2 separate regions of the Mus musculus genome follow, and region 2 is reported to be linked to region 1. Evidence: microRNA targets listed by miRTarBase, many of them from high-throughput screens and not tested one by one. Region 1 holds a microRNA gene; the other region holds the end of a gene's coding sequence.

Region 1 (4,264 bases):
TGACTTTTGAGCCGACTCAGCATTTGCCTGGGTGAGTCACTAGAATAAAGACTAAATTGCTTGCTCTACACAATTTGTGTGGCCTTATGGTTCCAGAGAAAGTTCCAGGAAAGACAGGATTACACAGATAACCCCTGTCTCCAAAAAATAAATAAGTAAGTAAATAAATAAATTAAAAATAAATAAAATAAAAGTTCCCTCAAGTGTCTGCATGGATGAGGCCCTGAGTGTCAGCAAGGAAAAGAAGGTTGTTGTGTTAGAATCAGCAGGCAGAGACTGTGGCTGATACATAGCAAGGAGCTAGTCTGCCCTGACTCAGGCAGGGCCCGTGTGAACCCAGACCTGTGGCTTTCTGGATTCTGCAGCAAAAACCACTATATCTGTTCATTGTTGGGTGTACAGATGAAATGACAACACAAAGGGATGCCCAAAGGGAAAACAAACTGGGGGAGAAGGAAGGAAATAACGTAGTGTATTGGGGTGCAGATAAGCCAGTGGCACCTTTTGTGACCCAGCTTGAGTGCTAAAGAGATGCCAGTCCTTACATTGCTATAGAAGAGGCCTGACATGATCGGTGAGACATGACATTGTACTAGTGGGTCACCTACCCATTCTGGTTTATGACTGTTACTATTATTTGCTGTGAGGAAAGAGAATAACAGAGACAGCTTATAAAAGAAGGACTTTGTGTGGCCTTATGGTTCCAGAGAGATAATAGACCATATGATGGCAGAGTGCAGGCCTGGCAGCAGGGGTAGGAAGCTGAGGACCCACCAGAGTGAAGCAGACAGAACAAACTAGAAAATGGTGGGAATCTTTTAACTCTTGAAAGCCCACTTCTATTGACATACATCCTCCAACAAGGTTACAGCCTCTAAGCTTCTCCAAACAGCATCACCAAGTAGGGACCAAGCATTCAAATGGGAGACAGGAGACAGACATTTCATTCCAACCTCCACAGTGACCACTCAGGAGTTGTGTGTAGCTGTGGACCTAGCAAGCTCATTAAGCACCTTATAACCTCATGGTACCTAAGAAGAGAGTTACCCTTTACTTGCAGATGGTTGACATGTTGTAGGATGTACCCTTTAATTAAGGACCTGGAGGAGGCAGTGTTTATGTTAACTGGGAGGGCCTGAGAGCAGATATAAGTCATCGGGGTCTCATGCTGTGGATCGTTTGTTTTTTGTTTGGTGGTTTGTGTGCCGCCAAAGTTTAAATAAACCTGGGTGCCAGTCAGATAGGCATGTGTTCTTCTGCTACTTTGGCCCCTACACAGTCTGTTAATCATAATCCTAGTTGCAAATCCTGTTTATCTCCTGCTCTGGTTTGTAGGCTAAGAATTTGTTACACTCTAGTCCTCTGTCTTTGTTTACATTGTTGCCTCTCTCAGCCCCTGAATCCAGCTAGTCTGTTACCATTGTCTATACTTGATATTAGATAAGGCCAAAAAAGCATAAGCTGTCACCTCCTCAATAAGCCACTCCTGATTTATATTGTTGACAGCCCCTAGATTCTAAGAATATCTTCTCCCTTCTTAGGACGGTGGCTCTCTTGCTTTTTTCCTTGTCTTTCTACCAGTTTGCTGTGCTCCTGTCTACACACACAGGCCTCTTGGATGTGAATGCCAACGACAAGAGTCTCATGTTCCAACAATTTAGTGTGCCTGTGGGGCCTGTCTTGTCATTCTCACCTAGGAGACATTCCAAGATTTGGTGGGTGTAACTGAGTTCCTTGGGCCCATGGGGATTGGCCTCTGCACCTCACTTAGCTAATACATGAACCCATGCTGGGACAAATTCCTGATGGAATTGCCTTCCTTTTGGCAGGTGTGGACACTGCAAGAAACTTGCCCCTGAGTATGAGAAAGCTGCCAAGGAGCTCAGCAAGCGCTCTCCCCCAATTCCCTTAGCCAAAGTGGACGCCACCGAACAGACAGACCTGGCTAAGAGGTTTGATGTCTCTGGCTACCCGACTTTGAAAATTTTCCGCAAAGGAAGGCCTTTTGACTACAATGGCCCACGAGAGAAATATGGTATGGCTGCTACCTTCCTCGTAGTGTGTGGAAAGGGACTGTCCCTTGCACAGCTGGGAGCTAGAGGATGTGGTCAGCTGCAAGGATCTTCCTCAGACATGTGCTCTGCTCCTAGGGATTGTTGACTACATGATTGAGCAGTCTGGGCCTCCCTCAAAGGAGATCCTGACCCTGAAGCAGGTCCAGGAGTTCCTGAAGGATGGAGATGATGTGGTCATCATTGGGCTCTTTCAGGGAGATGGTGACCCGGCCTACTTGCAGTATCAGGATGCTGGTGAGTATGTAAGCCATACTCCTGAGGCTTTGGGGGAAGTAGGCTGTTTTGCATAAAATTAGCATAATGATTGGGTTGTTGCCTAGTATTCATGAGGTCCTAGACTCAAACCTTAGCCCCACCAAAACAGCAAATGCTCTTCCATAAGAGTATATCAGTGTAGCAAATGCTTGATGGAAGAACCAAGGGAGTAACTGTGGGAATTAGCTTTCCAGCCTTGTGCTGAGGCTGTGGGTCAGGTCCTTGTGGCTGTCATACATAGTTGGTGCCGTGTATAATCACATGCTAAATGTGAAAAACCAGCTGCACTGTCTCCCCACCGGACACAATCACATTAATTCAGGTTGTTTGCCTTCCTCCTCTCCTAGAAAGAACAGCGCTGACTTGGGCCTGGATTCAGGTCCTGGCCCTTGCTAGTTAACTAACACTGCTCACACGCTGGCTCCATCAGGCCAGTGTTTGTGGGTTTTAGGATCCTCAGTGCCACCTTTTCCTCATTTCCCCCTTCACACAGCACAAGTGTAGTCTACTTCATCACTAAGTTTCCTTTCAGCATGTCACTTGTCACCTTGTGCTGATCTCTCCGTGGCATAGCAATGCTTGTACATACTTTCAGTTCAGGCTGGTGATTTATTTGTTTGTTTTGAGAGAGGACCTCTGTGTAGCCCTGGTTTTACTCTGTAGACCACACTGGCCTCAAACTCACAGAGATCTGCCAGCTCTGTCTCCGAGGTGCTAGGATTAAAGATGTAAGCTGTACCCAGAGCAGCCTGCTGCTTTGTCAGCACTTTAGAGAAGAGCTCAGTTTAATTCGTGTTTCTTTAGTCTTCACTGGTTAGTTAACTATCATCTGCTCTTGGCTAATCAGGAAGAATTTACCCAGGGAATGTGGGAACTAAGGGGGTCAGGGAAGAGGAGGGAGAGGGGATAGCGTGAGTCCGGCCAGAGTTCCTCCTATTCTCTGGGCAGGGGGATGCGGGAGGACTGCCAGACGCTTTCTACTCAGCCCTGGGTGGACATCTAAGCCACTGACCTCACTCAGTGGGGGATGGACAAGGGGCAGCCCCCAACTGGGGGCGCCCCGGGGCTATGGGAAAGAGGGCTGAAGGAGAGAGGTTCCCACACAGGAGAGAGTCCTTAGTCTGGGCCTTTACTGGAACACAGGAAGGCCTTCCATCCGGAGATCAGAAATGGCTTGTTAAGAGAAAGCCTATCCCATCGTCCAAGCGCAGCGGGCCTTGATGAACAGAGACAGTCTATGGTTTTAGAGCTTCATTGTAGAAAGGCAGGGAGAAAAGAGAGAAGGTAGAAAGAGAGAGAGAGACCGGCCATGCCCAAGAGGAGAGAAAGGGGAAAGAGAGAGAAAGAGGAAAGGCTAGAAAGTAAGAAAGAGAGGAGAGAGTGAGAGCGAGGAGAGGAGAGGATGAGAGGTTAGAGTGAGGTGGGGCCAAGCAGCCCCTCTTATGGTGGGCTGTTATCTTTACTGTTGCTACATAACTGGGGAGGAGTGTAGCCTGAAGGTCAGAAGCTTGGGACATTGTCTACATGACTACTAGCCATGCTTCTCCTGTGAGGGCTGTGGGGGCCGTAACTTCGACAGGAGCCAGAGTTCCAGGAGCATAAGGGAACACCTACCGTGCCATGTAGGTGAATTATCACCACTCTGGGGTTCAGACCTCGGCTCGGCTGGAGACCAGACTGTGCATAGCCCAATGCCCAATAAGGGAAAGTCCAGCCTAGCCAGGGATTTGGCTAAATGCAGAGTTCTTAATCTCGGGACAAGAGCTTGAAACCTCTGTAAAGGGCACTAGGTATGAAACCTCAGTGTAAAGTCACAGGACTATATGGTACTTGCATGTTCTCTGAGAGGTACTGTCGTCCTGGGTTCCAGTTTGCTACTTGTCATAGATAGGAGGAAACATTTGCTCCAAACAAACAGTTCTAAATTTCTGTGA
Region 2 (4,264 bases), not on the chromosome of region 1:
GAAATGACCCTAAACCCCCATAGCATTCTAGAAATTTTGTCTCTTTTGTGCTGCTATCACACATGTCCCAGTAACTCTCTGCTCTGCTGTCCAGACTTCCTTTGTGCCTCCTCTGAATTTTCTCGGCACACCTTAAAACCTAAGATTTTTCTCAGTACACCTTAAAACCTAAGACCCACTTCCGCACCACCAGTTCCCCAAGTATCTTGGCTTGGAGCTAATTCACATCTTTATCAAAGGTCGTGGTCCGGCTGGGAGAGAGGTATTGAGTGAAAGTAGAAGGTGACCTTCAGAGCGGCAAGTGCTGTGGCACGGGCGCTGACAGCCCCAGTGGGCCCTGTCAGGAATAGACACAGCTCCCACATCTAGTGCTGTGCCTGGCTCCACAGGACTCCTCGGAGACTTACTCTGGCTGTTTGTCACTTGATGTAGGGGGAAGAAGAGCATATCTTTGAAAAATCAGAAGTCAACTTCTGGGCTGAGACTCTGACCTTCGTGAAATCCCTGTGTAGGCAACTCTTCCATCTCCTCTGTCAATCTGGCTGGCAGTCCCCTCACTCCCAGAAGCTCTGTCACTTGCAAAGGATAGCATCAGAGCAGAGTCACCTCATCTCTCAGCTCTTCAGAGAACTTCCACTCTCAGCTGAGTTTTTGAAGACAGTGGAATACACGAGGCTGCGCATTCAGGAGGAAAGGACTTTGGCTGTCCTGAGGCTGTTGGCCTGCCTGGAAGGAAAGGAGGGTCTCAGAGCCGAAGACTGCCCTAGGGAATGGAGACAAGTAATGGCCCCAAGAACAGAAGCAGCATGCTGAAGAAAGGTGGCTGGGCCTCAGCTCAGGTCTGCAAGACACATACATGGTGGACACCAATTGAAACTCTTTTCCTCAGGTGCCTCCCCACTTCTGGGAGTCTAGGCTTCTGTCCCTTCCTACTGAGGACCTTGTCTGCAGCACACTCATTCAAGGCAACCCAATTAGTTGCAGCTACCTAGGAAGTGAAGCTGCTGTCTGCAGGTTTACTGTCTCCAGGTGCAAGCCACCTGCAGGCCTGAACTAGTCAGTTCTATCCCAAAGCCAGCGCCCATTTCCCCATACACTGACTGCATTGAATTCAGTCTTAGCTTACATGTCTCTCTCTCTCTCCCTCTCTCTCTCTCTCTCTCTCTCTCACACACACACACACACACAGTGCTCTTTCTCTCTCTCTCACACACACACACACACACAGTGCTCTTTTGTTTGGTTTTGTTTAGCAAATACCTATTTGGTCATATTTATAAACTTTTATTCCATTTTAGTAAAGGGTATGTTTGATTCTGGGAATATTAAGAACCTACAACATGCAAATACTTGCATTTTACTATCTACCTGCCCAAGTCCTTCAGTGGTCCATATTAAGAGTCCCCACTGTCTTACCCAGAAATGCCTGCGAAGGCTAGGAACCCTTGTCACCCATCACTGGCCTCAGCTATTGGACAGAGCCTGGGGAAAGGGAAGCCTGAGCAAATGCTTAATTCATTCGGTGCCACCACTGTACACCGTCCTGTGATTGGTGGAGACAGCAGAGTGCCAAGAAACACATTTACCCACTTTAGGTGATTCCATATAGAAACCGGAAGGGTTTGTCACTTCAGGCCCAGCCCAGCTGGCATCCTCGAACACCAGCAGGTGGCGCTCTTGCACACATTATGCTGCTGGTCTAGCGCTTTTAGCCTACTCTTTTAAAACTTTTTAAAACTATTATCAGCACCTGTACATGATAGGAGGGCACCCATGCCCCAGCATGGATGTCTGAGGAAGTTGAGGGACAACTTTATAGAGCCAGCTCTCTCCTCCCGCCTCTGCATGGGCTTCAGAGATCGACTCAGGCTCAGGCTTGCAGAGCACGCACGTTTATCCACTGAGCCGCATCATGTGGCCCAGCTTACCATGCTACGTGTGCTTCCAGAGTACGTGACACCCGCAGACGCTTGCCTTCAATTCACGGCGTGGATGTGTTGCTGTAGTGTGATCCACATTCCCAGTTATCCACAAAGACCATGCCAGCCATAGAAGGAACTTGTAGGGCCTATAGCTATGTTCAGATACTTCTCAGTGAGTAGTCACTTAGAATCATGAGGAAAAGGGAGAGAGGCATTCTATATGCTAGCTCCTCCTGCAGAGACGCTGACATTTCACATGTAATTGGTCTCAGAAGAAAACCATCCTGCACCACAGAAACACGGCTGTGCTGGAGTAGAGACCTGTACGCAGGGAGAGGGAAGTCAGGAGCTGTGTCCTTCCTGGCCATGAAGAGGAACAGAAATCCCCTGGGTGGTCTTAGAAACACTCAGCACCCTGGGGTCTGTGTGGCCCTGTAGTAATTACCTAGTTAGGCAGTGCAACCCACTGCTGATGAAAAATTGAAAACCTAACATTGTTTAGTTTGTTTTGGGCTTTGCTTTTAGTTTTCTGAGTCAGGCTTGCTATTTACACTAGGCTGGCCTCAAACTTGTGTTAATCCTCCTGCCTTTGCCTCCTGAGTGCCAGGATTCCAGGCATACACCACTATACCCAGCATTACACTACTTTAAGATCTAGTTGGTGAGAGGGGCTGGTGGTGACAACCTTGGGAGATTAATTCTGAACAGGACCCAACCTTCCCTCTCCCCTTCCATCTAAAATGAAATAAAAGCAGTTACATGACAATAAAACCATCTCACATTGGCAGGCATGCTGTCCCAAAGCATGTTTCAGAGCAGGCTTATGTTATCTCCAAGTCCATCCTACCAAGTCTGCCATTAGCTGGGACTTACCCCAGACTTGGATCTTGGCTGGCTGTGGCCAATCTGGGAGGACAGGAGGGATGGATGGCTCCACAGGTGGGCTTGTATCTGCAATCCTGCTAGCAGTAGCTAGGGGAACGACTGCTGCATGCTTTCCTGAGAGAAACCAGGAAAACCTTAGTCACAGCCTCATGCTTACATTTGGGGTCCTTTCAGCCACAGAACCCAGCAGTAATAGGGGCAAGAGCAACGTGGGTGGGAAGAGTGAAGCAGCCATCTTCCCTAAGTCACTACACTTGAGGGTCCTAAGATCTGGGTGGCCCCTTGCTCAGACCACAGCCAAAAGCCAGTTTGCTTTAATATATAAGATGGTGAGGGCTTTGTTCCTTTATAGGGGTATGGTCTCACTCTCACACTAAGCTGTGCAAGGCTAGCCTAAAACTCACCACAGTTTGTGATTAGTGCTAGGACTATAGGCATGAACCACCGTACCCAACCCACTCAGCACTACGTCCAAGACACTACAGTCTTCTGGCAGCCATTGGCTCTACCTACAGGGGCAGCATGCACTGCAGTGTGGCCAAATGCACCTGGACTCAGGAGCCTTTGAGTGACAGATCTACCTCCTTAGCTTCAAGGTTAACTGATACAGCCCAAGTGCACACTGGACTGGGTCAACCAGACAGGAAGAGCAACATGGGAAGGATGTAGTTGGTCAAGCAGCCTTCTCTGGCAACTACTGGGCCTTCCACCCAGGGCAACCCGGACTGCCAGCTGGGTGAATTCATGGGCCCAACTCCAGCTTTTGGCAGCCAGTATGAAGTGTAGGGATAAAGGGTTCTGGACCTGACCAGATGGGCCTCACGGGGTGGGGGTGGGGGTCGCTAGGTGTGTGGAGGTGTGTGTGTGTGAGACCCCTCTCAAAAAGAGCCAGGGGCCTTCTGGGACTGCTTTTTCCATGGAAAGCTGGTAGGAGTTGCACTAAAGGCAACCGAATGAGGACCTCTTTCCCCCAACCTGGGTGGTGGTTCAGCAATCACCGCCTCGCCTCCGGCAGCTCACACAAAGCTTAGATTCAATGCCGCGCCTCCCACAGCAGAAGGAGGAAGGTTGCAGGATTCGACAGGCCAAGGCTGTACAGGCGGGAAGCCTTGGCTAGGAGCTGCACCCACATCCCCGAGAGGAGGCCAGGCCAACCAGCAGGCACAAAGGTGAAGGAAGTGACTTCCTCTATGTCCACACTGCTCCTCCGACTTCCCTCTAGTCCCCTGGAATAGGCTTTCCCGCCCCGGACACCCCGCGCCACTCGGCGCCTTTGGCCCAGGCTCAAGGTCTTGTGATGTGATTAGCAAAGCCAGCGCCTTGTCCTCAGACACTCGGCTCTGCCCCACAGGCCGCAGCGCTCAAGTCCTGTTTACTGAGCCTGGGCGGGGAGAGGGGCGGAGAAACGCGCCAATGCTCCTCCAGGCTGGCCGCTCCCGCCCCCACCCCTACTGCGT

Evidence for each region. The annotated mature microRNA mmu-miR-704 reads AGACAUGUGCUCUGCUCCUAG and lies in region 1 at 2,130-2,150, shown strand. An mRNA with a match to its seed (bases 2 to 7 or 8) in the 3' UTR can be bound and repressed. Matches are read on the target gene's strand: a 7mer-m8 pairs with bases 2 to 8, a 7mer-A1 pairs with bases 2 to 7 and ends in A, and an 8mer does both.
Region 2: miRTarBase lists Thada as a target of mmu-miR-704. Seed matches in the 3' UTR shown: 7mer-m8 at 1,125-1,131.

The regions. Positions count from the first base shown.
Region 1 is chr6:47,801,476-47,805,739 of GRCm38, reverse strand. It overlaps Mir704 (microRNA 704), which reads left to right and starts at 2,088; the gene lies at 2,088-2,164. Pdia4 (protein disulfide isomerase associated 4) reads left to right here. Exons shown (of 10, transcript NM_009787.2): 5 at 1,830-2,035; 6 at 2,151-2,309.
Region 2 is chr17:84,188,500-84,192,763 of GRCm38, reverse strand. It overlaps Thada (thyroid adenoma associated), which reads left to right. Exons shown (of 38, transcript NM_183021.3): 38 at 433-2,708. The coding sequence ends at 813. It overlaps Gm36279 (a long non-coding RNA gene), which reads right to left and starts at 576. Exons shown (of 4, transcript XR_385852.4): 1 at 492-576.